Linked DNA regions of Callithrix jacchus. The protein of the gene in region 1 purifies or fractionates together with the protein of each later gene. This does not show direct contact. Links are inferred from orthologs where the notes say so. Each region holds a gene or a part of one and is shown in the gene's direction. Other genes may lie near its edges.

Region 1 (3,500 bases):
TGGAGTGCAATGGCACGATCTTGGCTCACCACAACCTCCGCCTCCTGGGTTCAGGCAATTCTCCTGCCTCAGCCTCCTGAGTAGCTGGGATTACAGGCACGCACCACCATGCCCAGCTAATTTTTTGTATTTTTAGTAGAGGCGGGGTTTCACCATGTTGACCAGGCTGGTCTGGATCTCTTGACCTCGTGATCCACTAGCCTCGGCCTCCCAAAGTGCTGGGATTACAGGCGTGAGCCACCGCGCCTGGCTCTGTTTTCTATTATAATATATATTGCTTAAAGATCTGAACAGAGAAGAAAGCACTCCAATTAGGATGCCGCCTAAATTATAAGCATGTCGCTGTACTTTGAGAACACTAAGTTGCGTGCAAGTTTGTGATGACTAGGCTTTCCTGCCTTTACTGAAGGAGCAGAATGAAGCCACAGATAATGGATTTGGATAACCAAATCCATTTTGTGGTGAGAAATTCCTTACTTTCAATGTCTTGAAGAGATGAAGTATGTTACCAAAGGAGATTGGGTTTTTAAAGATTACAGATAAGTGACTTAGATTGTTTGGGAGTAAGGTTTTAGATATAAGTTTTTATGTTTTTAAACACATACTGACAACTTCTGACAAGCCTTTGGAAAGTTTTAGAACTCTGTTGAAAGTTCGTGCAAGCTGCTGATGGAATCTGTGAGCCTTTCTTGTTGCTTATCATCTATTTTTTGGCAGAACACATTTCTTACTTCCCACCAACAGGTTTTGCCCTTTTTTATTCCATTAAGATTCCTCCTGAGATTGGCTGTCTTGAAAATCTGACATCTCTGGATGTCAGTTACAACTTGGAACTAAGATCCTTTCCCAATGAAATGGGGAAATTAAGCAAAATATGGGACCTTCCTTTGGATGAACTACGTCTTAACTTTGATTTTAAACACATAGGATGTAAAGCCAAAGACATCATAAGGTTTGATTATTTAATTTCTATTTGTTTTTATCAAATTTATTTCAGATTTCCACTCTGTGACTTCGATGGACATATATTGTTATGCTTTAGGGAAAAAAATCAATAGTAATATTGGACATTAATGTGCTATGTGTCATTTGCCTTTCATTTAGTGAATGTGTTTCTATGGTGCCACTGTAGAGATTTTTCATTCTTCTTAGCCAGGTAACATTGAGAGTGACTTTTTTGCCTTCTCTTTCTTTTTAGTGGAGTAGACTCTGAAAGAAAATATGTATTGTTATTCGGTCTCTTGTTACCAATTACACAATCTAAAGAAATATGGCACGGTATAATAACTTATCACACTGTATTTCATATAGCAACTAGTAAACATATGCCTCTTACATCTTAAAGCATTATAGTTACTGACATCATGTGAAATCACTAACTTCTATTTTGCTCATTAGGATGAGTAATCTACTCACCTTGATCAGCTCTGAAACTACCAAAACTTCTCAAGTATCGCTGTTTCTGGTCTTTACACTTGAAACACTTTAAATATCTTTAATAATGGATTTTATCCCACTTTTTGTTCCCTTTCAGCACATTGTTCTTATTATTTTCTCATAAAATCCTTTGCTCCCTTTCCCACAGTTACTGTATTAACATTGCAGACCTCAGCTCTGTCGTCACCTCCCAGCTAGACTGTAATGTGCACCAAGGCAGAGACCATGGCTGTGTTCACTCACTATTCAAATCTTGGCACCAAACACAGTGCCTGGCATAGAATTAATAGTTGTTTAATTACCTGTGTTTTATGCTTACTCATTCTCTTCCGCCTAAAGTCTCTTAAATTTATATTTAACTTTATATCTTTTTATGAGGAAGGATTTGGTTTTCTGAATTCTTGAGCTTCATTTCATTGTAAAGGAAAGAGTTTAACTTTTGTGCTAAAAGTGACTACCCTTCATTTTACACAATTATTTTTCCCTCTTGAAAGTGGAAAAGTTGGCCATATAAAAATTGGTTCAATTCTTACTAAACGTTTAGCAGAACTAGCTTTCAGTGTATTATGCTGTATTTTAAAGCTACATAACTAAATATGTTAAATATTTTAAACATGTTTAAGGTTTTCAGGAAAGACAGAAAGACCCTAGAGCGGATTAGAAATTGTAGGCATCATTTGCTTTTTGAAGAATGACATATTTCAAATAGTGCTGCCATCTTAAGAAATAAAAAATGAAGAAAAGTAATGTTGCTTTTCAGTTATATCATCAGAAATGTTGGTCAGAGATCGGTCACTACTCCGATGTAAAATTCATTTTTTATTTAGGTTTTCTCTAATTTTAAATGGCGGCAACACTTTAACATATTTCAAAATATGTCTTTCTATTTTTATTATATTTTTGATAACACTTTAAATCTACTGTTAGTTTAAAGGTCATTTTTTAGCTACCTAAACACTTCTATTTAGTTCAGTTTTTATGTTAAGATCATTAGGAATGAAACCATGTTAACATCTTCTGATAGTATAATAGTTTATATGTATTTATGTATGATGTAATATGATCTCACTATCTGTATATACTATTATATGCATTTGTGAAATATATCTATCTATACATCCTATATTCTACATATGACCATATAGACACATGTAGAACTAATATGACCTTATCAAGGTTTATTATTACAGTATACATATTTTTATCTTGTTTTTATGTCATATGGACTTTGTGAAATTTTATACTTTATAAGGTTTTTAATACTATTAAAAGAAATTCAAATATGTATACACATATGTATGTATATGTGTGTATATATAGATGTATACATATTGCGTATTGTATGCTGATTAGTATTGGAAACACATTTTGGCCTTTTGATTATTTCTGGTGGTAGTGTAACATGTTATATTGGTAATTCTACCAAACACTATCAACTACACTAAAATCTCTAGCAAAATATATGCATTAACAATACACTGAAAGGCGTATTGTTATTAGTTATATATATATATAACTAATGAGTTATATAACTCATTATTAGTTATATGAGCTATGCGCTCTTTTAGAAACTATATCTTAGAATAGTGTTACATGCAAAACAACTCACTTAAATCTCATGTACTTTTAAGCGGTTTATTATTTTATTTTTATCTTTCAAATACTAGGTTTCTTCAACAGCGGTTAAAAAAGGCTGTACCCTATAACCGAATGAAACTAATGATTGTGGGAAATACTGGGAGTGGTAAAACCACCTTATTGCAACAGTTAATGAAAATCAAGAAATCAGATCTTGGAATGCAGAGTGCCACAGTTGGCATAGATGTGAAAGACTGGCCTATCCAAATAAGAGGCAAAAGAAAGAGAGACCTCGTTCTAAATGTGTGGGATTTTGCAGGTATTTCTATAGAATTTTAAAATTCACTTTTACCACTTGTTATAAACAGGGTTTAAAAAAACTGAGCTTTCTGTTCTAATATCCAGAGAACTGGTAGACTGTATGGAATTATTCCAAAGCCCTTCACTTCTCCTCATTTTACTCCAGCCTCCAGAATGGAGAAGAA
Region 2 (4,280 bases), on another chromosome or scaffold:
CAACCTCACCTCCCGGGTTCAAGCGATCCTCCCACCTCAGCCTCCAGAGTAGCTGGGACTCCAGGTGAGCTCCACCCTGCCCCCCTAATTATTTTTTTTTGTAGAGAGGGCGTCGCACTGTACCCAGGCCAGTCTAAAGTTCCTGGACTTAAGCAATCCTCCTGCCTCAGCCTCCCAAAGTACTGGGATTACTGGCATGAGCCAGCGCGCCCGGCCTTAACAAGTAATTTTCTTTCTTTTTGAGACCGAGTGTCGGCTCTGTCGCCCTGGCTGGAGTGCAGTGGCACGATCTCGGCTCACTGCAGCCTTCGCTGTGCCAGTTCAAGGGCCTCGTTCTCTCAAAGTGGTGGGATTGAAGGCGTGGGTCACCGCGCCCAGACTCAGGTGATTTTTAAACAAGTCCGGCCGTAGCTGCAGGTATCCTGGTTCTGTAGGAACGACGAAGTATGGACGGATCCACACCTGGATCTATGGATGGGAAGGATCTCAGGGAGGCCCTGGACGGAGGGAAATGCTCTGGTTTGCTAAGCCTGGCACCGACTGAGACCCACCCACAAAGCGACCCATGGAAGTCCCTGGCGGCCTCCTCTGCTCTGCCGCGGGGGAGCCCTGCAGGTGGCTCCCGACCTGCTCCCGGGCCATCTGGTGACGCTGACTTCGCAGCCACCACCTTAACTGGCGCGTAATACCAACCAGGGAACCCGTGGGCGGCCAGAGGCCCGGCTCTACGGTCAGCCCGCCCAGGCACCTCTCCCTGCCATGTGAGGCCAGAAAGTTACTTCTCCGAGGCTGTTTCCCGTGACCAGAAATACCTCCCGCCTGAGGTTCTGTGGGGTAGGGGAGGTTCGTGCACTTCTCACAGAAAACGTCGCACAGACCCGCCACTGCCTTTATTAAGAGCTCTCAGGAGGCTGCCTGGAGCCGAGGGTGTCTCCGGCCCCATGCTCGCGGGCATCAGGGCGAAGCTGTGCCCCCGAAAGGGCCAACGGGAACTCCGCGGTCCCTGAACTTCCGGCGCTGGAGGGCTCCTCGCTCAGGGCTGCCGGGAGCCGCGGCGTGAGTGCGTGCCGGGGCCGCGCGCGGGATCTCTGAGGCCTCGAACCTCAGGGCTGTCGGAGTCTAGAGATGCAACCACGCTAGAGAAACGAAGGCCGCCCGATTTACACCACCCCCGCGCTCCCCTCACACCCGGCGCCAAAAACGCTAGTCCCACGGCGCAGGCTGGGACCCGCGCGCCCACGGCCCAATCAGCGCGGGCCTTCCACAAAGCGAGCCCCGCCCCCACGCCGCTGCTGCCAGCACCTCCCCCTCCCGTGGCCGTCTCGGCCCGCCCATTCCCAGCCCCGCGCCGTTCTTGGTTAGAAGCTCGCGATTGGCTCATAGGGACGGCCGCGAGCTCTGGTTGGCCGGCGCGGAGTCACGAGGGCGTCGTCGTCGTCTTTCCACAGGCGATTACTGGGCAGGCTCTGTCTTTCGCCTCAGTCTCGAGCTCTCGCTGTCCTTAGGGTGTACGTGCTCCGGGATCTTCAGTACCGCGGCCGCCATCGCCGTCGCTTGGCTCCCTCTGGGCTCATCTGCGTCACTTGCTCGCTCCACACTCCGCCGCCATAAGCTGTCGTCATGGTGAAGCTCGCGAAGGTAAGCGGCCTTGAGTGCGAGCACCGAGATCTAGGCCTGCTTTCCGAGGGGTGAGCGCGGCGCCGCGGGGAGGAGGGCCTGCGCGCAGTCCCGGCCGCGTTCGAGGGCGCCATGCTGCGGGAAGTCTCGCGCGATTAGTGGGGAGGTCTCGCGGTTTCTGGCTACTTGGTGGCGAGGTGAAGAGCTTCTGCAGGTGTTGGGGGCGGCGAACGCGGCGGGAAAGACAGAGTCACTGAGCGCGGGGAGGGGGCGCTAGGCCCCGGGGCAAGGAGATGAGACCAGACTCATCTCGCGTACGAGATGCGACGCGTACGAGCTAGAACCCGACTCCTGACGCACGTGCCCGGGAGCGCGGCCTGCCACGTGGGCCTCGCCGCGTGGGTCCGGGAATCTCCAGAGGGAGTGGTGCGTTAGGGTGGGAAATGGCGGTATCGGCCCGAGTCGGAGGACCGGCTGCGCTCGGGATGTCTGCCCCTGCCCGGCAAGCCGACACGTGGTGGGCCCCGGAAGGTGGCTCTGCCGCGGTGTTTCGGGCACGTGGTGGCCTACCAGGTACCCCCACGTGGCCGCGCCGCCTCTTTTAGGGGCGGGGTTGTCTCGCTGGGAAAGGAATAACGTTCATCAGAAAACCAAGGTATTTTTTTTAAGTGCCTTAATGATCTTCACTCATAATTTGGATTTGGATTTGGATAAGGGTTGTAGAATAAGGTTCCGGGATTTGAAGTACTAAAACACGGGTGTACTTAGAAAGCCTAAGGAAAAAAAAAAGTCAAACCTACGGTAAAAAGTCAACCTGAAGAAATGATTTCTTCACTTCTTCAGGTTGACTTTTTACCGTAGGTTTGATTTTCTGTTTGTAGAGCCTGACAGCAAACATGTGTGGGCGGTTGAGAGCAGGACCTCTTGCATTGCCATTAGGGCTAGTTTTTATGTTAGTTGTGCTGTTTGGCCCTATGAGAAATGGATCTGAGGAAGGAGATGATGGCGTTTTACACTGAACAGTAATGGCAAAACGTGAATGGCCTGAAATGTCGAAGTGAAGATGTGATGATGTACTTGTTACCATTTTAGGCAGGTAAAAATCAAGGTGACCCCAAGAAAATGGCTCCTCCTCCAAAGGAGGTAGAAGAAGATAGTGAAGATGAGGAAATGTCAGAAGAAGAAGAGGAAGAAGAAGAAGAAGATGATAGCAGCGGAGAAGAGGTAATTTCATCCAACTCAATGCGGAATTAAGTTAAAACTACAAAATGGGGAGTTAGGACATGAAATTGGATGTCTATGATAAAAATAAGATTTTATTCATCTGCGTATCTCCTGTTGTAGTGATCGAGTGTTTCACAAGCTCTTCGTTCATGTCAAGATGTCATTTGGCTAAATATTTGAATGTGAGTTTGAGACAGATCTGGGGATCTCCTTTCCATGTGCCTCTGCAGGGCTTGGAGTGTGATTTGTTGTGCTGAATCGTTACATTTGTCCAGTTTCAACATGTTATCCTCACCCCCACATTTTAGACACAAGGGAAAGATCTGTTCTCTCAATGGCAGAGCTGGGCGTTGTATTCAGATCTGAGGATAACCTTACCAGATTCCTTTCCTAGGCTCCATTTAAGATTAATTGGTCTCTATTCCATTACACTACTCACTGTGTTACTGTTGTCTCTGGTGTAGACTGAGGGCTGCCACCGCCCTTTGTGTTAACGTTTACCCTCTAGCACTCCTGGCTATTTATTTGTTCGCTATGAAGACAAGTGAGGACTGAATTGTGCTCAGACTTCTCTTTGAGAATTGAATAAAAGTTACTTTTCCATACATTGCCTGATAAAACTAGTAATCAAAAAGCAGATTTCAGTGGGACTTTATTAATGTAGCTAAATGGTGGATTCATCGTTTTGTAAGGGATATTCAGCCTATTTGATCTTCATTTCATCTCGTATCTTAAGAATTGAGCTTCACCAAGCTTGGTACCAGCACCTACTGTAGGAGCCTCAGATGATTTAATAACAGTTAATGCTTGGAGCCTCCTATGTGTACGGTTGTGAATAATTTACACATAGCAATTCCTGTTCCTTAGACATGTAAGGATGATACTATTACCATTTTCAGGTGAGAAAGTTGGGATTTGGGAAAGTATGAGGTATGAGAATTCAGAGGTATTTTAAGTGTTCAGAAGGGTTCCTTATTCCTAGATATTCACCTGATAATATGGAGTTTAACATGGTAACGTGTGTCTAGGGCTTGTGGTCTTGAACCATAGGCATTGACAGAATCTAACACTAGTTGGGACCATGGTTGTCTTCTTACTGGTTTGGTTTTCATTTATTCTCAAGGTTGTCATACCTCAAAAGAAAGGCAAGAAGGCTGCTGCAACCCCAGCAAAGAAAGTGGTAGTTTCCCCAACAAAAAAGGTTGCAGTTGCCCCACCGGCCAAGAAAGCAGCTGTCACTCCAGGCAAAAAGGCAGCAGCAACACCTGCCAAGAAGACAGTTACACTGGCCAAAGCAGTCGCCACACCTGGCAAGAAGGGAGCCACACCAGGCAAAGCATTGGTAGCAACTCCTGGTAAGAAGGGTGCTGCCATCCCAGCCAAGGGGGCAAAGAATGGCAAGAATGCCAAGAAGGAAGACAGTGATGAAGAGGAGGATG
Region 3 (3,500 bases), on another chromosome or scaffold:
TAAGTGGCTGCAATAGGATTCTATCACATGACTCATGATACTGGCCTCTCTGATCCCCCAAGGTTTTCCACCTAAGAATGTAGTGCATTGAAATGTAAAAGTAAGTTTCCTTGGCCAGTTTTTGAACTTAATAAATCTGTTTTCCCCTTAATGGGCCCATGCCTAGGGTTTATATTTTGAGGTGTTCTTGATACCAATAGCATATAGAGTAAGTCTTCACTTAATGTTGTTGATAGGTTCTTGGAAACTGGGACTTCTGGCAAATTGATCTCAATGTCATGTCACTATAACACAGGGGAGGGGGAAAAATGGTCTTGTTATGTGTCATTTCATTTAAAGCAATTTCCAAGAACCTATCAATGATGGACACTAAGCAAGGACTTTAAATTAATACCCTAACTATGTAGCAAGTGAAGACATTTGTGCTATGCCTATCCTTGTTTTTATTCAGGAAAACCTAGCTGAGTTTAATTGCTTCACTAGCATAACAAGTTATTTTGCATGGATAGGCGATTAAAGACAGATTGTTTAATTTTGTTAGTGTATGATACTGATATTGCTTTAAGTCTTTATATAAGAGGTAAACAGTGAAGTATTTGGGTTAATGGTTATGGTTGGGGTTTACTTGAAAGTATTTGTGGGGGGCATGGGCAGGGGTATAATACATGAAATATTAATCATGAGTTAATAACTGCTGAAGCCAGATTGAATGGATATGTAGAAATTCATTGTACTGTTGGCTCTGTTTATACAGGATTAATATTTTCCATACTAAAAGGTGAAACAAGATTGCTCTGTTAGATAACCAGAGTGATCTCAGGAAATAATCAGGAGATAACTGCTTCGGTGTAATACTGTACAAACACAGGTTTTCTTACACCAGTTATGTTTTAAGAAATGTTGTCCAAACCCTTACTGAACTAAAATATGTGGGTCAGAGGTGAGGGCTGGGGAAATCTTAGTTTTTTAAAAAAAAAGCCTGTTTAAAAATTTCTTGCCCTGTTAGAAAATAAATACTCTCCTTGTATTTTATGGACCATATGAGCTAAGGGAGTGTCTAGTTTTGATTGATTTTTTTTTTCTTTTTCTTTTTCTTTTTTTTTTTTTTTTTTTTTGTTAATTTAAAGGAGACAAGGTCTCGAACTCCTGTGGTCCAGGGTGCTATTCTCAGGCTAGCCTCCTGACTCGGCCTCCCCAAAGTGTAATTTTAAGGGGAACAAATTGAATAGGTTTTTTTTGTTTGTTTTATTGTTTGTTTTGAGATGCAGTCTTGCTCTGTTGCCCAGGCTGGAGTGCAGTGGCACAATCTCAGCTCACTGCAACCTCCGCCTCCTGGGTTCTTGCAATTCTCCTGCCTTGGCCTCCCAAGTAGGTGAGACTACAGGCACATGCTGCCACGCCCATCTAATTTTTTTTTTATTTTAGTAGAGATGGGGTTTCACCGTGTTGCCCGCCCGCCTCTGCCTCCCAAAGTGCTGGGATTACAGGTCTGAGCCACCGTGCTCGGCCAAACTGAATAGTTCTTACACAAAAATACGAATTTTTGGCAGGCACCATGACTCACACCTATAATCCTAACCCTATAGGTGGCCAAGGCAGGAGGATCCCTTGAGTCCAGGAGTTCAACACCAGCCTGAGCAACATAATGAGAATCTCTATCTCTATTTTAAAAAAAATTCAAAAATTAGCTGGTTTGTGGTCCTATCTACTCAGGATGCTGAAGTGGGAGGATCACTTGAGCCCAGGAGATCAAGGCTGCAGTGAGCCATGTTTGTGCCACTGCACTCCAGCGTGCACAACAGAGCAATAGCCTATCTCAAGAATTAAGATTATAGATTTTAAATTTTTCTAGTTTCATATATATAAATACTACAACAGTGAGAAGGGTCTTGATTTACATTGCTGTTAGACTTAAGTAGTTTGATATGTTCTTATAAGTAATGAAATTGAAATAGTTAATTAACATTTTTTGGTTATAACCAATGTTTGCCAGTCACTGGTTTAGTACCAGCTTATAACTGTTTAGTTGATACACTTGACAATCATAATGTGTTGGTGTGGGAAAGTTGAAACTTGGGTAGGATATGCAGCTTACTTTCCCAGAGTAATCCAGCCAGTGAATAGCAGCCCTGAGATTTGAAGGCTGGTCCTTGCTTCTAGAGTTTGTATTTCCCACTATGATACCTTTCTTCAGGCACAGATTGGACTGAACTACTAAGAAAGTGGGCTTTCTTAGTCATTTCTGTGATTTTTATGCATAAACATCTATGTATAGATTTTATTATTCTGACCTTAAGAGTATAAAATTAATGTTTTAAGGCATGAAAGATGGCCAGAAGATAACATTCCATGGTGAAGGAGACCAAGAACCAGGACTGGAGCCAGGAGATATAATCATTGTGTTAGATCAGAAGGACCATGCTGTTTTTACTCGGTAAAGAATTTTATAAACCATTCAAATTGACATCTTTACATATTTGGGTTGTTGGTTTTGGTTGTTTATAATGTGTTTACCATTACTGTTGCAACATATTTCCTGGAGATATGCTAGGAAAATATAGCAAGACAGTTATACTGTGTATAATGTATCTTGTAATAGATTGTTAACCATTGTTTGAATCATAAGAGCTTGAATACATGGGATCAGATTTTTAGCTTTTTGTCTCTTGAGTATGGAACATTGAAAATGTGTTTCAGTTAGATGTTTTGTGTGAACCTAAACACCAAATGGCTGGGGGAAAACATCCCTGGACAAAAGTTTGCCCTCAGTTTTTGTAAAACAATTTAAAGTAAGTGCCTTAAAGCTTTCACCAATTTTCAATCCTAAGTTTAAGATAAATTGAATTGCTTTTAATTGTAAATACCCAAAAGCATCTCTGTAGGAAACTTAAATTAGAACTCAATATTTAAGTATAAATTCAGGTCCACTCCAAAAACATACCAAATGGTAAAGAGCATCAACACAATTAAAAAAAAAAAAAAAAAAAAAAATTCAGGTCTACCATTGTGAACTAAATAATACCAAGTTTATGATGAACTTAACACTGAAGCACAAGAAAGACTGATGGTTAATAGCAAATGTTTGTGTTAAATATATTCACAGCTAATATCAAAACATAACAGACCCTCTGTGTATGCTATATTCCCAGCAACTTGGGAGGCTGAGGTGGGAGGATCACTTGAGGCCAGGAATTCTAGCTATTGGGGAGGCCAAGGCAGGAGAGTGGCTTGAACTCAGGAGTTGAAGGTTATGATCATGCCACTGCATTATAGCTTGGGTGACAGAGCCCATCTTTTTTTTTTTTTTTTAAGTGGACTGGAGGTGAAATTGGGAACATCTTAAACTTGTTTAGAATTATTAATATTTTGGCTGGTGGTGGCTCACACCTGTAGTCTCAACACTTTGGGAGGCCAAGGCAGGTGGATCACCTGAGGTTGGGAGTTTGAGACCAGCCTGGCCAACATGGTGAAATGCCATCTCTGTTAAAAATACAGAAATT
Region 4 (4,075 bases), on another chromosome or scaffold:
TTCCCTGAGTTATTCCTGCCTCCTCAATCTTAAATTGATCTCAGTTCGACTATTCTATACTATGTACTCCACACCATCCTCTTCTAACAATTTCCCTGCTCCCATTCATGGCAGCCTCTGGGGAAAAAAGGTTAAACAGGAGAAGATAAAGATGAGTGTGAGGGCAAAGTGGAGGCGTGAAAACTGCAGCTCCCCTGTCCCTGCCAACTGTAATAGGGCCCAGTGTTGTTTTTTTTTTCAGATGGAGTTTTGCTCTTGTTGACCAGGCTGGAGTGCAATGGCGCCGTCTTGGCTCAACGCACCCTCCCCCTCCCGGTTTGAAATGATTCTGTTGCGTCAATCTCCGGAGTAGCTGGGATTACAGGCGCCCCCCACCGCGCCCGCCTCATATGTACATTGTTTAGTAGAGACGGGGTTTCGCCAAGTTGGCCAGAATGGTCTTGAACTCCCAACTTCAGTGATCCGCTGGCCTCGGCCTCCCAAACTGCTAGGATGGCAGGAGTGAGTCACCGCGCCGGGGCCAGGGCCCAGCTCTTTACCCTGAGGGTAAAAGTGTCTGCAAAAGGCCCACGACCAGGCTTGGCGGAGAAAACCAGGACGCTGGCTGGGCTCGGTGGCTCACGCCTGTTATCCCAGCATTTTGGGAGGCCGAGGCGGGCGGATCACCTGAGGTCAGGAGTTCGAGACCAGACTGGCCAAGATGAAGAAACCCCCTTCGCTACGAAAAGTACAAAAATCAGTCGGGCGTGGAGCCGCATGCCTGTAATCCCAGCTGCTCGCGAGGCTGAGGCGGGAGAATCTCTTGAACCCGGGAGGCGGAGGTTGCAGGGAGCCGAGATCGCGCCATCGCACTCCAGCCTGGACGATAGGGTGAAATTCCATCTCAAAAAAATAGAAAAAGAAAAAGGAAAAAGAAAACCAGGGCGCGGTAGAAACAGCGCTGATTTCAGGCAGGAAGACCTGCTATGATGACAGAAACCGTCCCAGCCTCCGTGGTGGTTTTCCGCAGGCCGGACGTCGGCCGTCAGTCTGGCCCAGGTCTCGCGCCCGCGGTTTTCAGGAGCAGCCCGGGCCGGCCTGGCCACCGCCGTCGTGTTCCCCGGGGGCCGCTCCCTCGCGGCAGTCGCAGTTCCCGCCTCTAGGCCCCGGCGCCCGCTGAGCGGACGGAGGAGGGGCGTCTCCGGCGCAGGTTCCAGGACCCGCCCCCCGCGCCAGTTGCCAGGGAGCGGTTGCCATAGAGCTGAGCAGTTGTCCGCGTGCGCAGGCGGAAGTCCCGGATTGAGGCGCCGCCATTTTTGCTGCCCGGACGCGGAGCGAAAGGCTGAGAGAGTCGTAGACACTATCCGTTTCCATCCGTCGCGCAGACCCTGCCGGAGCCGCTGCCGCTATGGATGATCGGGAGGATCTGGTGTACCAGGCGAAGCTGGCCGAGCAGGCTGAGCGATACGACGGTGAGTTGTGGGGGCAACGGGGGGCTGGAATTCTTGGACCCTCTGCCGCCGCCCACAGAGGCCGGGAACGGGAGACAAAATGGCGGCATCGTCCGCGAGCGTGGCCCGGGGACTTGGGTTCGGGGAGCGGAACCTGGCTTGGGAACTCCCGGAGCGACGGGAGGCCGTGTGCCCCGGAATGTGACCCCTTCGCTGTCCTCAGCTACACATACCTCGCGGGCCGAGAGGCCGGGGTGGAGGAGTTGGTTGTAAAATGGCGGCTGGGGGGAGGGCGAATCCCGGGGCGGGGGAGGGGGAGGAGATGGCGGGCGCTGCCGCGGAACCGGCCACCCCCAGGGAAGCTTCCGGGACGGCCTTGGGAGGTGGAGAACGATTGGGTAGGGTGACGGGGGAAGCAGCACCCTCCACACGGGAGAGCGCCAAGACCGGGAGCTGTAGCGCGGGCGCCTTTCAGGGAAATATGGCGGGTGGGGGCGGTGGCTTCTCCCCGGAGGCTTCGTGTGGGGCGGCGGCCGTGGAGTCTCACAAAGGAGAGCCTGGAACGCGATGCGCTTCCTCGGGCCTGGGTCGGGAGGCCGCCCTGGGTGACAGCGGGGAGCGGGCGAGCGAGCATCGCTGCTCTGGGTCCTGGGCGGTGGCGGGCTGCGGGGCCGCGGTCGGGTTTGTTTTGCGTCCGCCGGCGCCGCGGAGTGAGGGGTTTCGGGCTTTTCCCCCCTCGCCGCCTTCCGGGGAGGTCCAGAAGATCCGGGCTCCCGCCCCTTTTCCGCGCTCTAAATGGTGAAGCTCGAAGTTCCTGTAACCTTTCTCTGGCTCCGTCAGCAGCGGGTTCTGATGGATGGAACCAGGAGACCAGGGGGCTGCGCGACTCTGGGTTCGAGCCTTCGTCCTCGCGTTTGGGAAAACGATGACTTTACAGTTTGTCCGCACCCTCATGACACATGGGAAAAAAAAGACCTGTTGAAATAAAGTTGTTTCCAGTAGCGTTTAGTAACTGTATTTTGGTTGACTCTGCAGGCTCGAAATGCGGGTTTGTACTTCGTGGGGGACCTTTGCCTCTTCCAGGCACTCGGCTGGGCCTGGGGTCTTTGAGTTATGAAGGTTGGAGGTCCTATTCTTTTTTTTTATTATTATTTTTTATTTTAAATAAGTGGGTTTATGTAGGACTTTGAGTAGTTCCTCTTTGCTCATTGTCCCTTTGCCCTTAATTGGTTCTTCAGTCCTCTTTCAGAACTTGATCGAAATATCCATTGTGTCTGCCAGGAAGTTTCTTCTTCATCCTCCCCCCCATCCACCTTTTTTGACCTGTAGACTTGAATTTCCCTCACATTTAGAATTTTTCGATACTGTGGTATTACCGAAACCAGAAGTCCTGTATGCGGCTGCTGTGGTTTTCATGCTTTTGCATGGTACGGTGGGGTGAGACATGGTTGGAATCTAGTGTCCTTGATGTGAGATTTTTCCTGGTTAAGCTACCTATATTTCAAAATGTTTCAGAGGGCCATTGCTTTCCTGGAAATGCCGATTTGGTCATGTGAATAACCTCAGGGCTGGTTCCCATTATCAGAAATGAGGATTCAGGGATTTGAAAATAAGACAAGTCCTCTAGAGCTCAAATATACGAAATATGCTGAACTAAATTTCGTCTTGTAAATTCTTTGTTATTTGTATTGAACAAAGTTGCTGTTGGGGGAGGGAAGGGATAAAATGGGGAAGTACAGCTCAAGGTCAGCTCTCTTTATTTCAGTGTTGAAAAATCAAACAAATAGGTGTGCTTATATTGGAAGACTCCCCTCCGCCCTCATCTCCAGATGTTCCCCTCTTCATCTATTAGTGTTCTCCGTAGGAAACAAATGATACTTGAATGCTTTCTGTTTTGTGGGGATTGGGGCTATTTAATTAAACTGGCTGTGGTAACTAGAAAGAATGTGAGTTTTTTTTTTTTAAACCGATTGGAAAGCTTATGATTGTAGTTTCCAAATAAATTACAGGTTATTGTAGTTATATTTTGGCGTGAGGATTTCTGACCAGAACCTTTATTGGGTTTTGAACGTAGGATTCTTTGATACGGCCACAATATTGCAGTTATTAATGTTAGGTGTCCCTTTCAGCATCTAAAGCGGTAGGAAAATAGATCTCCAAGGTGAGGAGCTCTTCCTGTGACTTGGGCATAAGGTAAGGACTCAGTAGAAAGGGGAGGGGAGACAGACACCAGGAATCGGCCTCTGTCTTTGTCCATTCCTTTATTTAGGGCAATATTTTTTTGTTTGTGGTGACAAAAAGTTTTTCCCTTAGTTCTAGTCACCAAATGGAATTGATCAAGTGTGGGGAGGGGGTGGGACTGGTGGAAGAAGCTAAGAGTATTGGCAGGATTTCTTTTTTGGGTGCTTGTATGCAAGTGCTGGTTTTCCAGCTGTCCTTCGCTCTTATCTCCCTGTACTGCAGTAGGTTTATTTTGTTTTGCTTGCTGTGTTAAACGAGTGCCTAAACTTCTTTGTAGCCTCATTTAATTCTGTCCTGGGGCATTGGAATCAATTTATATGGATTATTTAATGGTACGGGAGGAAGAGTTAAGTTGTGTTCAGGAAAAGGACAATTTTGGGTCACAGGAAATACTGAAGTTTGGG
Region 5 (3,134 bases), on another chromosome or scaffold:
TCTTACCAAGATTGGGGAGACCAAGGACAAGGCAGGCTGGAGGGACACTCAGAGGCTGGGAGGTGGCTATGTTAAGTTAGAGGCGCCTATGCAGGGACACTGAGGACGTGAGTGTCACACATCTGCGGTACAGCAGGGCTCCCAAGCAGGTGGTCTTTAGCAAATGCCAGATGAGGTCCCTGGCTGGGGGAGCCCAAGACTTAGGGACCCCCTCATGTAGGTCAGGAACAGACTTGGGATGCCTCTGAAGCGCCTCTGAGGAGCTGCGGCTGGAGGGTCTTGGGCTCCCCAGTCCCTTCTGAGCATTGGGCTGGGTCCAGTGAGCACTGCCCAACCCCCGTAGACAGCGGATCGCCAGTACATGGAGGGCTTCAACGACGAGCTGGAAGCCTTCAAGGAGCGTGTGCGGGGCCGTGCCAAGCTGCGCATTGAGAAGGCCATGAAGGAATACGAGGAGGAGGAGCGCAAGAAGCGACTTGGCCCCGGCGGCCTGGACCCTGTTGAGGTCTACGAGTCCCTCCCGGAGGTGCGGTTCCCCAGGCCAGGCGGGCAGCAGGAGGGCCCTGAGCAAGACCCCCAGGGCCACAGGGACCCAGCCCCTGACCCCAGCTCCTCTGCACCCCCAGGAACTCCAGAAGTGCTTCGATGTGAAGGATGTGCAAATGCTGCAAGACGCCATCAGCAAAATGGACCCCACCGTGAGTAACCCTGGCCCTCCATGCCTTTCCAGCAGGCAATGTGTCTCCCCCAGCCCTGGGTCCCAAGTCTCTGAAGCCGGCTGGTGAAAGTACTCCTCCGAGGCTTCTCCAAGGAGTCAGGGGGGGTCACGTCACCTTGGCATACACCCATATTTATTGAGCACCTACTGTATCCCAACATCCAGCAGATGATTGCTGAGCTTTCAGTGCATGTCCCTCGTGACTGACAGTCACTGTTGCTGTGATGGCGTCCAGCCTCAGTTTCCTTATCCAGACCACGTTTTCTCTCAATATCAGCCCACAAAATGTTTGGGGAGGGGAGCCGAGCACATGGCAGTGACTGGTAAATGCTGGATGTTAATAGGGTTTTGACTGCTTGTTTTTGAGAGACAGGGTCTTCCTCTCTTACCCTGGCTGCAACTTTGACCTCCCAGGCTGAAGTGATCCTCCCACTTCAGCCTCCCCAAGTAGCTGGGATTATAGGCTGACACCATGACATCCGGCTAACTTTTTAAAAACATATGTTTTTATAGAGACAGGGTCTCACTGGCTATAATTTTGGAAGTGGTAATAGAGTTTGAATCTAAGTAGGACACACTTTAACTCTGTTCCTACCACTTGGCTCACTGGTTGGCCACACTGGTTTTCTCATCTGTAAAATGGGTCTAGTTGCAGGACTGGCCCTGAGGTTCTAGAAGCTTCTATGGGCATAGCCACCTAGACCAGGTCCTGCAAACTGCACCTCGAGGACTCACTGCCTATCTTTTATAATAAAGTTTTATTGGAACAAAGCAGCCACGCTCAATTGTTTCCCTATCACCTACAACCGATCTTGCTCTACCGCAGCAGAGTTGAGTCGTGACGGAGACCATATGGCTTGCGGAAACAGAAATACTTAGTCTGTCCCTTTACCAAAAAAATTTGCTGGCTTTTTTTCTAGATTGCACTATCTAAATTTAAATTAAAGTTAAATAAAATTTAAAGTACCAGCTGGGCAGCACTTCGGGAGGCTGAGGCAGACAGATCACCTGAGGTCAGGAGTTCAAGAGCAGCCTGGCCAATGTGGCAAAATCCTATCTCTACTAAAAGTACAAAAATTAGCCAGGCGTTGTGACAGGCGCCTGTAATCCCAGCTACTCTGGGGGCTGGGGCAGGAGAATTGCTTGAACCTGGGAGGCAGAGGTTGCAGTGAGCCGAGATCACACCACTACATTCCACTCTGGGAGACAGAGTGAGACGGTCTCTATATCAATAAATTAGTAAAATAAAATGAGCAGGAAGCCAGCTTGGGAATGTGCAGGGGACAACAGGGTGGCCACCAGGTGGCAGCCCTGCCTCACCTGCCTGCTCTTCTCCTTGCAGGACGCAAAGTACCACATGCAGCGTTGCATTGACTCCGGCCTCTGGGTCCCGAACTCTAAGGCCAGCGAGGCCAAGGAGGGGGAGGAGGCGGGTCCCAGGGACCCGCTGCTGGAAGCTGTTCCCAAGACAGGTGATGAGAAGGATGTCAGCGTGTGACCTGCCCCAGCTGCCACCACCATCTGCTTGCAGGCCCCTATGCGCCCCTTTTCAGCAAACAGATAGATGCCATCTCCCCTGCTCCTGGCCTCCTCCACTTGCGCTGCTCGGCCCAGCCTGGGGGGCCCACCCAACCGTCCCTGCCCTCTCCACTGTCCCCACTCTCCAGTGCCCATTCAAGTCTCTGCTTTGAGTCAAGGGGCCTCACTGCCTGCAGCCCCCCATCAGCATTATGCCAAAGGCCCGGGGGTCCGGGGAGGGGCAGAGGTCGCCAGGCTGGTCCATCAGGTAGTAGGGGAGGGTCCCCAGCCAAGGGGTCGGCTCTGGTCACTGGGCTCTGTTTTCACTGTTTGTCTGCTGTCTGTGTCTTTTATTTGGCAAACAGCAGTGATGTTCCAATAAAGGATTTCAGATGCTCTGGGCTGCTGTGAGGGCTGTTCAGGCAGCCCATCTCTTGTGGGTGGGAGTGAATCCTGGTGGAATATTGGAAGCTGGGTCTTGGTACTCTAGTCCTTTGCCCTCCAGCCGTTGTGGGTCCTTGCCTCACACATGCTGCTCCACCACTTTGAACAGTCTTCCTCCAGAGGCCCTAGAAGCCTACCACCCTCAGTTCTCACCCACCCACTCCCCTGTCCCTACTTTGACCTCCAGAATACAGGGTTGCCCAAGCTGATCACCGCCAGAGGGCAGCAGTGATCTGTAAACCAAGTCACGTTTTCTAGGGTTTTGCGAATTTTGCCTGCCCACGCCCACCTTTGCCCCTGCTGCCCCCTTAGAGCTTCCTACCATCATTTGGGGCAGCATCCTGGGCTATATCTCTCCGCCCTATGGCCAGTGCTGCCCTCCAACATTTTTGTTGTTGAGACAGTCTAGCTGTTGCCCAGGTTGGAGTGCAGTGGTGTGATCTCTGATCACTAC
Region 6 (4,131 bases), on another chromosome or scaffold:
GCCTTGTGCTCTGGCTTCCCTGTGAAGCCACCAAAGGAACCAGGTGAGGCAGGATTAATACACACACACCTCCAGCTCTCCCATCACCCTTTCGGAGTTCCACGGAAAGAAAGGGCGGCCACAACCCACATCTTATGCTTGCTGACGTTTCTCTCTCTGGCACATTTCTATTGGACCACATGCCAATGGTGGCTGTGTGTTTTCCCAAGGCGTCTGAATCACTGGGATCTAAGACCTGGGGTTTCTCTCTCAGGGTTCTCATGCCCAGGATAGTCAGTCTCAAGGCAAGGCACTGACCAGATACCGACCATTCACTGTCCCCCACTCTCACCCCAACGCACACACAGACACAGGGGAGGTCAGGGAGGAGGCTTATGTCTTCACCGAAAGCCTACAGGCACCTAGCTGCTGGAGCAACCAGAGCCTCTGGAAAGCCACTATATATGGCCATCCTTTCAGCAGCAAGGTGGGAGAAATCAGCAACGTCAAAAGAATTTCATTAGGCATAAGCAGTCTCCCCCAGAGGTCAGAGGGAGAAAACACAGCAAGTAGAGGTGTCCCTGGGGAGTGGCAGCAAAGTCACCGAGTTCTGGTAGGTCAGAGTTGACAGGATCCTTTGAGAATGTGAAATTTCCTTCCCTCTGGGTCCCAAAAAGGAAACTGGAACCCAAAGAGAAGAGGAACTGGCGTAAGGCCACGCAGTGGGTCAGTGGAGGAGTATGGCTTAGAGGTCAAACTTCTTACTCATCATGGCCAGTGCTGGATAGCAGCTGCTTCAGATGGTTTGCAGCCCAGCTAGGACCTAAATCAACCTCATCTTAAATATGCGTAAGGAAAGAGGACTTGGACCCGAATACGTAAGACAGCAGACGGAGAAGAGCAGAAGCAAAACCCCCGCAGCCTCAGAAACCCTAGTTCCCTTCCATTCCAGGCGTCTCGGGGGAAAGGCATCTGGGGCTCTAAGACTGTGGGAGAATGGGCGATGACTGGCAAAGTCCAATTCTTTTGCCACCGTGACAGGTGGCAAAGCGGTCCGCGAGAGGGGAACCCGGGGAGAGACAGTCCCACAACCGGATTTCCGAAGCGGTGTGAGAAGGGCGGGCCGGAATATGTGACCGCCTCAGAAGGACTCTTTGAAATACACTAAGGAGGTGACACCCGGCCGCTACGGCCCACTCTCCTCCGCCTGTACGGAGCCCCCCGCCAGCGAGGCGGACACGCTGGGGGAGCCGGCCCAGGGCCAACGTCGGCCAATCCCCTCAGTGACAGCAGAGGCGGCCAATCAACCCCGGAGCATAGCCCTCTCCCCGCCCCTGTTGGGGCCCACAGCCAATCGGACTCCAGCCTGTTTCGGGAACGGCTACCCCACCGCTCCCTCGCGAGCGCTGCGCTGTCCTTTGGCCCTTTCCCTGCTCACCTCCCAGGGACGGCAGAAAAGGGCTGGCCTGAGCACTGCCTTCGCAGCGCCGCTGGCGGCCGTCGCTACCTTCAGCGCCATGACGGAAAGTGAGAAACCCCGGACGTCCCGACACGCAGACGCCGTTCTCGCGAGAATTCGACGGTGTGCAAAGTCTGAGGGCAGGCGCGGGCCCCGTACTGCGCACGCGCGCGACCGCACTGATTCTCACGCCACCTTGCGGCGCCTAGAGCGCCGCTGCCGCCATGTTGTTGGGGTTGGGCTCGTGACCAGATGGGCCCCTGGCTCGGGGAGGGGCCACGTCAGTGCTGCCAGCGACGTCACAATGCCGGCCCGGCCCTTCGATGCATGATTGGCTGCCGCTGCCACTTACGCTCGCGCTTCCGTGTCTGCCCCTCGGGTTCATGGGAGCTCTTTCTCTTTTCCTCTAGTCAGAGAAGAGGTGATGGCGGCGACGGCATTTTTCGGCGCCCTGGCGCTGCTTCTGCTGTCCGGCCTCTCCCACTGCTCAGGTAGCAGCCCGGCAGGGTCTTGTTTGTGGCGAGCCTCTGACCCACGGCAGGTGGTGTTGAGGGGAGGAGGGATACGGGGTCTGACCTTTCGGTATCCGTCGCTGCGGGCCGGGCCTTCCTCCGAGAGGCAGGCTGCCTCGGGCCCTGGGGACCAAAGCACCTCACGCACGTTTACGGGCATCCAAGCTTTTCCTTGTCTGCTCAGACGAAGAGGAGTCCCGGAGCCTCCGCAGTGCGCCCGGCCCCCAGCTTCGGCACATGTCTCCGCTCCCGCTCCCTCTCCCTGCGGGTTCGGACAGGAGCAAAGCCTGTAGTGCTGAGCGGATCGCGGCCAAAAACGGGGCTGGAGGACCCACATAAGCCAGGAAGAGAGCTCAGTGAGGAGAGGGAGGAAGAGTGGGGCGAGTTAGATGGGGAGCCGAAGGGGTGCGCAGGGTCTTGAGTGCCAGGCCGAAGACCTGTGCTTCTGGAACCAGAGCCTGTTCCGTTTTCTTCCTCAGGAAACGCTGGGGCTAGTCTTGACCTTCTGTCAAATGGCCAGCGGCAGAGACCCTTTCCCTCATCTACCTGCCTGCAGCCTCTACCCGTGATGTACTCATCCAGGCTATTTGTGGCTCTGAATTGAAGCTGGCCTAGCCCCCAGGCCTCTGTGTCATAGGTCCAAGTGTTAGCATGCATTGTCCAGTGAATCCAGCCCCCACCTGCCCCCAGCACACCTTCAGAAAGCCGCCTTCATAGTAATCCCACCTCTCTTGCCACTGCATTTCTTACTGAGCACTTGGTTCTCTCTCTCATCTCACCTGGAAGGGGCAGGAGAATCCCGTGGGTCCCAAGCTGAGCCAAGCTGTGAGGCAGGGCCGGCCCAGCCTTCTACCCTCAGCCTGGCACACTTGAGGTGGCCTTCCCCAGGTATCTCTCCCTCTTCGCCGCAGCCGAGGCCTGCATGGAGCCCCAGATCACCCCTTCCTACTACACCACTTCAGACGCCGTCATTTCCACCGAGACTGTCTTCATCGTGGAGATCTCCCTGACGTGCAAGAACAGGGTCCAGGTGAGACAGTGGGGGTTCAGCCAGGAGGACAGGTTGGGGTGTTCCTCACCGGCAGTTGACACGGGGACCCGTGTCGACAGAGGAGGAATAAGGATTCCAACTCTTGGGGTGCTGTAGAGATCAGGAGACAGCGATGCAAGGTCACCCTCCGCACCTGCTTTGTCTGTGGTGCCTACACGACGTAACACTGGGCTCACACCCCGCTGTTTCCTGAAAGTGTCTGCACCCGGAAAAAGGGCCGGGGTCTACCCGCCCCGGTTGCCATTGGCCAGTTTCTCTGTGTGGGTGTTTTGTTTGGTTTTTATTTTTTCTTTGTTTTTTTCTGAGACAGAGTCTCACTCTGTTGCCCAGGCTGGAGTGCAGTGGCGCCATCTTGGCTCACTGCAGCCTCTGCCTTCCGGATTCAAGCGATTCTCCCCTCAGCTCCCAAGTAGCTTGGGTTATAGGCGCTCATCACCAAGCCCAGCTAATTTTTGTATTTTTTGGTAGAGATGGGTTTTCGAGGGTTGTAACTTCAAGATTGAGGAGCCTTGGCCTTGGCCTCTGACCTGTGTTCCCATAAGTCCAAAGAAGAAATTGGACCTTTTTTGGGTACAGACCTCTTAGAGTTAAACACCCCTTGGCCAGCCCACTAGGCACCCCTGACCCCAGGACCTCCCTTGCAGACTCAGGGAAATCGCTTGGACATTTTTATCATCCTACCCCTGCTCACAGTCAACAGGGTTCCTAATGGTTCCACTTAGGCCAGCCCATGGGGGGCCCTGTGCCCCATAGGGGAAGGCTGATGCAGAGGGCCAGTCACGGGATTGGTGAGTGTTCCCTGGTACCTCCTGCCAGGGACCTGCAGGCCATGTGAGCAGTCCACAGGGCTCCTCTGCCCACACACCCGGAGAGGGCAGAAGGTGACTCTGCCTTTGTCCCCTCACCCAGAACATGGCTCTCTATGCTGACGTCAGTGGAAAACAATTTCCTGTCACCCGGGGCCAGGACGTGGGACGTTATCAGGTGAGGGGCCAAGGGTGCCCTTGCTGGTGTTGTTCCCTGCTCCTGGGTGTAACATGAAGCCCCGGGGGTGGCTGGTCAAGTAGGGCCAGGGGCCATGGGTTCGGGCTGCTGGAGAGCTGCCGTGTCGGCACTGGGAGGCAGGGCTC
Region 7 (4,147 bases), on another chromosome or scaffold:
TTCAAGCAATTCTCCTGCCTCAGCCTCCCGAGTAGCTGGGACTACAGGCGTGTACCACTATGCCCAGCTAATTTTTGTATTTTAAGTAGAGATGGGGTTTCACCTTGTTGACCAGGATGGTCTTGATCTCTTGACCTCGTGATCCACCCGCCTCAGCCTCCCAAAGTGCTGGGATTATAGGCGTGAGCCACCGCGCTGGCCTTATTTATTTATTTAAACAGAGACTCACTGTATATTCCAGGCTGGAGTGCAATGGTGCGATCTTGGCTCACTGCAACCTCCACCTCCTTGGTTCAAATGATTCTCCTGCCTCACCCTCCCGAGTAACTGGGATTACAGGCACCTGCCACCATGCCCAGCTAATGTTTGTATTTCTGTGGAGACGGGGTTTCGCCATTTTGGCCACGTTGGTCTCGAACTCCTGACCTCAGGTGATCTGCCCACCTTGGCCTCCCAGAGTGCTAAGATTACAGGCATGAGCGATCACATCCGGCCTCATTCTATTTTTAATTGTGTGAATCCAGAAAATCGGAGACAGGTCTCAATTAATTTAGAAAGTTTATTTTTCCAAGGTCGAGGTTGCTCCTGTGACACAGTCTCAGGAAGTTCTGATGATATGTGCCCAAGATCATCGGGCCACAGCTTGGTTTTATACCTTTTAGGTATAAAAAAGACATGAGACATTAATCAATATATGTAAGAAGTACATTGTTTCGGTCTGGAAAGGCGGGACAAGTTGAAGCAAAGGCAGGAAGACTGGAAGTGGGGAGGTGGCTTCCAGGTAACAGGAGGTTGCAGTACGCTAAGATCGCGCCACTGTACTCCAGCCTGGGCGACAGAGGGAGGTTCCGTCTCAAAAAGAGAAAGAAAAAAAAACAAAAACAAAAACAAAACACGGGAGGGAGGGCAATAGAGCAATACAGTATATGTAAAATACAGAATGGTATGGTACCAAGCACACATAGATGGAATGATCTGTATAGCACTACTCAAGAGCCGTTTAGAGTGTTCCTTGGGGACCCCACACACGGCACAAACTGTGTTTTAATTCCTATTCTCTAGTGTGCAGATAAGTGCCTGGCACGTATTAAGTGCTCAAAAGAGGACGTAAGCAAGATAACAACAAATCACTGTTTCCACGTCTACAACTACTTTTAAGCTCGTAGAGAAGAGACTTCCAATCTCTTGCACTTCTACTTCAACGCCCACTTCCAGAGATGAATCAAACCGACGTAGTTAACCTATTACGTAATAAGGCAGCGCCCAAAGAGGGGTTAAGCTCCGGTCACGTGACGAGAGTGGGTGGGGCATCAAAGTTCATATCCCAGTATCCTTTGAAGCTACTTCCTTTTTCTCTTTCCGGCGTCCAAGATGTCGAAGCGAGGTGAGGTTTTACTTTTGGAGGATCCTCCACCATCTGTCGTGCAGTGCCTGGCGGGTTCATCGGGAGCGGTAGCTCTAGGCAGCTGGGGCGCTGTGCTCTCCTTCAGGCCCGAGATGGAGAGCTAGGCTACCGCGAGAGGACCGCCAGGACCCCCGAAAGTGGCACTGGGGTGCTTAAGAGTTGAGATGGCAGGATCTCGACTGTAGCCTGGATCCAGCGAGTTCGCTCCGCGAATAGGGCGTAATGGGGTTGAAGTTAGACTGGGTTAGACCCTGGTTTTCGAGATCTCTGCGGTCTTCTGCCTTGCAGAGGTAATTGAGTTTTTGCGAAAGTTGGAGCAAGGGCTGAGTCTTCCAGTTCCTTAATTTCGATGTCAGAGTGGTAATAGTGAGAAATGGCTACCTCCCGTGAGAATAGGGTGGCACACGGGGACGGCATAAGTAAAATTCGAGAGGGCTAATCTGTAGTACAGTCTATCAAAGCATGTGCGGAGTGTATGAGGAGGAACTCGGACCCATGTCTAGATAGTGGTCTCTTTATCCTGTTTCCCTTCCCTGTATATCCACAGGACGTGGTGGGTCCTCTGGTGCGAAATTCCGGATTTCCTTGGGTCTTCCGGTAGGAGCTGTGATCAACTGTGCTGACAACACAGGTGAGGTCTTTGACTGCACGCTGCTATACTCCCCCTTTTTAAAAGCACTCAGTGGGCCTGTGGCTAATGACCTACTGAGCCGTCAAGAAAGGGGAGAATGGAAACACCGCTTTTGGGTGAAGTGACAGCATGATGTGTTGTTTTGCTTCAATCAGTGGTGTGACAAGGCGCTCTTGGGGACTAACTGCTTCGGCAGTGAGTGTTTGGGAAATGTTATACTGACGCAACGGCCTGATCGGCCCTCAACATTTTGTGATTTTTGTTTGCATCCTTTTGTAGGAGCCAAAAACCTGTATATCATCTCTGTGAAGGGGATCAAGGGACGGCTGAACAGACTTCCCGCTGCTGGTGTCGGTGACATGGTGATGGCCACAGTCAAGAAAGGCAAACCAGAGCTCAGAAAAAAGGGTGAGTAAACATTGAGCCCTCCTTAATACAGATGGGTAGTGGGGGGACTTCTTCCTTTATTGGAAAAGGGGTTAGTTTCCAAGTTTGTTTTCCGTGGAGAGGCAGTGTGAGAATAAATAAGTTTTTGCTCAGACTGTGTTGGGAGGACCATCATTTTGTCACTTCCATATTTGCAGCTTGTGTCCTGTCTGGCTCTAGAACTGCTGGTATTTGATGTGCTTTAATTTCAGCTCTTGAACTTTTTTTAAACCCTGTGCCTAGTTAGTCCGTCTCTTTGCTGGGATGTCTTGCTTTTCTAAAGATTTCCTAGCCATTCCTTGATTTACAAATAAGATGTTGACTTGTCAGCCTTGTAATACACTTACTCCGCCCCACGATGCTCTCCAGTAGATTTTTTTAGCCCTTGGGTTAGAAATCTTTTTTTTGTGGCAGGTCGCGGTGGCTCACGCCTATAATCCCAGCACTTTGGGAGACTGAGGTGGGTGGATCACGAGGTCAAGAGATCGAGACCATCCTGGTCAACATGGTGAAACCCCATCTCTACTAAAAATACAAAAATTAGCTGGGCATGGTGGTGTGCGCTTGTAGTCCCAGCTACTCAGGAGGCCGAGGCAGGAGAATTGCTTGAACCCAGGAGGCGGAGGTTGCGGTGAGCTGAAATCGTGCCATTGCACTCCAGTCTGGGTAACAACAGCGAAATTCCATCTCAAAAATAAATAAATAAATAAGAAATTTTTTTTTTGTAGCCAGGCACAGTGGCTCTCATCTGTAATCCCAGTGCTTTGGGAGGCCAAGGCAAGTGGATCCATGAGGTCAGGAGTTCGAGACCAGCCTGGCCAACATGGTGAAACCTTGTCTCTACTAAAAATACAAAAAATTACCTGGGCATGGTAGAAGGCGCCTCCTACCCAGTTAGGAGGCTAAGCCAGGATTATCACTTGAACCCAGGAGCAGAGGTTGCAGTGAGCTGAGACCGTGCCACAGCACTCCAGCCTGGGCAACAGAGTGAGACATCCTCTCAAAAAAAAAGTGGCGGGGGAGAGAAAAGAAATCTTTTTCTGTTCACCATTAATATCCATTTGAGGGCTTGGTAGCACTGTAATTGTGATTTAGCAGTTGTGCTTTTTTCTCTTCTCAGAATACTTCCTGGGTCTGACTGGTGGCCCAGGAAGCTATCAGAGAAGAGTAGAGCAAATGGCCATCACTTTGTGGATGAGATGGCAGGAGAGTGGATTGTTGGTTTTAGTCAGTGGTGGAACAGACCAGAGCTCCGAACACTTAAGTGGTTTTTTTTTTGTTTCGAGACAGAGTTTCGCCAAGGCTGGAGTGCAATGGTGCGATCTCAGCTAACTGCAACCTCTGCCTCTTGGGGTCACCTGATTCTCCTGCCTCAGCCTCCTGAGAAGCTGGGATTACAGGCACACACCATCACACGCTAATTGTTTCTATTTTTCTTAGTAGAGATGGGGTTTCACTATGCTGGCCAGCCTGGTCTCGAACTCTCCTGACCATGTGATTCGCCCACCTCACTCTCTCAAAGTGCTGGTATTACAGACGTGAGCCACTATGCCCAACTTCTGTTTTAAAACTAGTTGTGAGTTTCCAGTTCTGGTTAATGTCTTTTTTGGTCCTTGTTTCTGCTAAATAAATACATCCCCTCCCCTTGGAACTTAATATCTATAAGTAACAAGTACAGAAATATG

Evidence for each region.
Region 2: the proteins of LRRK2 (region 1) and NCL purify together in Homo sapiens (co-immunoprecipitation; 3 studies listed by BioGRID and IntAct, with this or other methods). This does not show direct contact. The link is inferred for Callithrix jacchus from reciprocal best matches to the Homo sapiens genes LRRK2 and NCL.
Region 3: the proteins of LRRK2 (region 1) and DNAJA1 purify together in Homo sapiens (co-immunoprecipitation; 4 studies listed by BioGRID and IntAct, with this or other methods). This does not show direct contact. The link is inferred for Callithrix jacchus from reciprocal best matches to the Homo sapiens genes LRRK2 and DNAJA1.
Region 4: the proteins of LRRK2 (region 1) and YWHAE purify together in Homo sapiens (co-immunoprecipitation; 6 studies listed by BioGRID and IntAct, with this or other methods). This does not show direct contact. The link is inferred for Callithrix jacchus from reciprocal best matches to the Homo sapiens genes LRRK2 and YWHAE.
Region 5: the proteins of LRRK2 (region 1) and CDC37 purify together in Homo sapiens (co-immunoprecipitation; 8 studies listed by BioGRID and IntAct, with this or other methods). This does not show direct contact. The link is inferred for Callithrix jacchus from reciprocal best matches to the Homo sapiens genes LRRK2 and CDC37.
Region 6: the proteins of LRRK2 (region 1) and SSR4 purify together in Homo sapiens (co-immunoprecipitation; 3 studies listed by IntAct, with this or other methods). This does not show direct contact. The link is inferred for Callithrix jacchus from reciprocal best matches to the Homo sapiens genes LRRK2 and SSR4.
Region 7: the proteins of LRRK2 (region 1) and RPL23 purify together in Homo sapiens (affinity purification with mass spectrometry; 3 studies listed by BioGRID and IntAct, with this or other methods). This does not show direct contact. The link is inferred for Callithrix jacchus from reciprocal best matches to the Homo sapiens genes LRRK2 and RPL23.

Annotation. Positions count from the first base shown.
Region 1 is NC_133510.1:35,407,594-35,411,093, reverse strand, and holds part of LRRK2 (leucine-rich repeat serine/threonine-protein kinase 2), read left to right. Parts: intron 1-770; coding exon 771-952; intron 953-3,104; coding exon 3,105-3,334; intron 3,335-3,500. UniProt on the Homo sapiens protein: Serine/threonine-protein kinase which phosphorylates a broad range of proteins involved in multiple processes such as neuronal plasticity, innate immunity, autophagy, and vesicle trafficking.
Region 2 is NC_133507.1:152,901,907-152,906,186, reverse strand, and holds the start of NCL (nucleolin), read left to right. Parts: upstream 1-1,480; 5' UTR 1,481-1,620; coding exon 1,621-1,638; intron 1,639-2,050; exon of another isoform or gene 2,051-2,272; intron 2,273-2,709; coding exon 2,710-2,841; intron 2,842-3,964; coding exon 3,965-4,280. UniProt on the Homo sapiens protein: Nucleolin is the major nucleolar protein of growing eukaryotic cells. It is found associated with intranucleolar chromatin and pre-ribosomal particles. It induces chromatin decondensation by binding to histone H1.
Region 3 is NC_133502.1:140,224,980-140,228,479, forward strand, and holds part of DNAJA1 (dnaJ homolog subfamily A member 1), read left to right. Parts: intron 1-2,319; coding exon 2,320-2,434; intron 2,435-3,500.
Region 4 is NC_133506.1:66,853,282-66,857,356, forward strand, and holds the start of YWHAE (14-3-3 protein epsilon), read left to right. Parts: upstream 1-1,275; 5' UTR 1,276-1,387; coding exon 1,388-1,451; intron 1,452-4,075. UniProt on the Homo sapiens protein: Adapter protein implicated in the regulation of a large spectrum of both general and specialized signaling pathways. Binds to a large number of partners, usually by recognition of a phosphoserine or phosphothreonine motif.
Region 5 is NC_133523.1:9,582,222-9,585,355, reverse strand, and holds the end of CDC37 (hsp90 co-chaperone Cdc37), read left to right. Parts: intron 1-343; coding exon 344-526; intron 527-626; coding exon 627-698; intron 699-2,060; coding exon 2,061-2,216; 3' UTR 2,217-2,634; downstream 2,635-3,134. UniProt on the Homo sapiens protein: Co-chaperone that binds to numerous kinases and promotes their interaction with the Hsp90 complex, resulting in stabilization and promotion of their activity. Inhibits HSP90AA1 ATPase activity.
Region 6 is NC_133524.1:149,711,522-149,715,652, forward strand, and holds the start of SSR4 (translocon-associated protein subunit delta), read left to right. Parts: upstream 1-1,331; 5' UTR 1,332-1,417; coding exon of another isoform or gene 1,418-1,496; coding exon 1,497-1,563; intron 1,564-1,848; coding exon 1,849-1,929; intron 1,930-2,861; coding exon 2,862-2,980; intron 2,981-3,910; coding exon 3,911-3,985; intron 3,986-4,131. Other genes in the region: IDH3G (isocitrate dehydrogenase [NAD] subunit gamma, mitochondrial), read right to left, coding at 1,418-1,498. UniProt on the Homo sapiens protein: TRAP proteins are part of a complex whose function is to bind calcium to the ER membrane and thereby regulate the retention of ER resident proteins.
Region 7 is NC_133506.1:119,373,749-119,377,895, reverse strand, and holds the start of RPL23 (large ribosomal subunit protein uL14), read left to right. Parts: upstream 1-1,347; 5' UTR 1,348-1,371; coding exon 1,372-1,384; intron 1,385-1,952; coding exon 1,953-2,036; intron 2,037-2,068; exon of another isoform or gene 2,069-2,204; intron 2,205-2,315; coding exon 2,316-2,444; intron 2,445-4,147.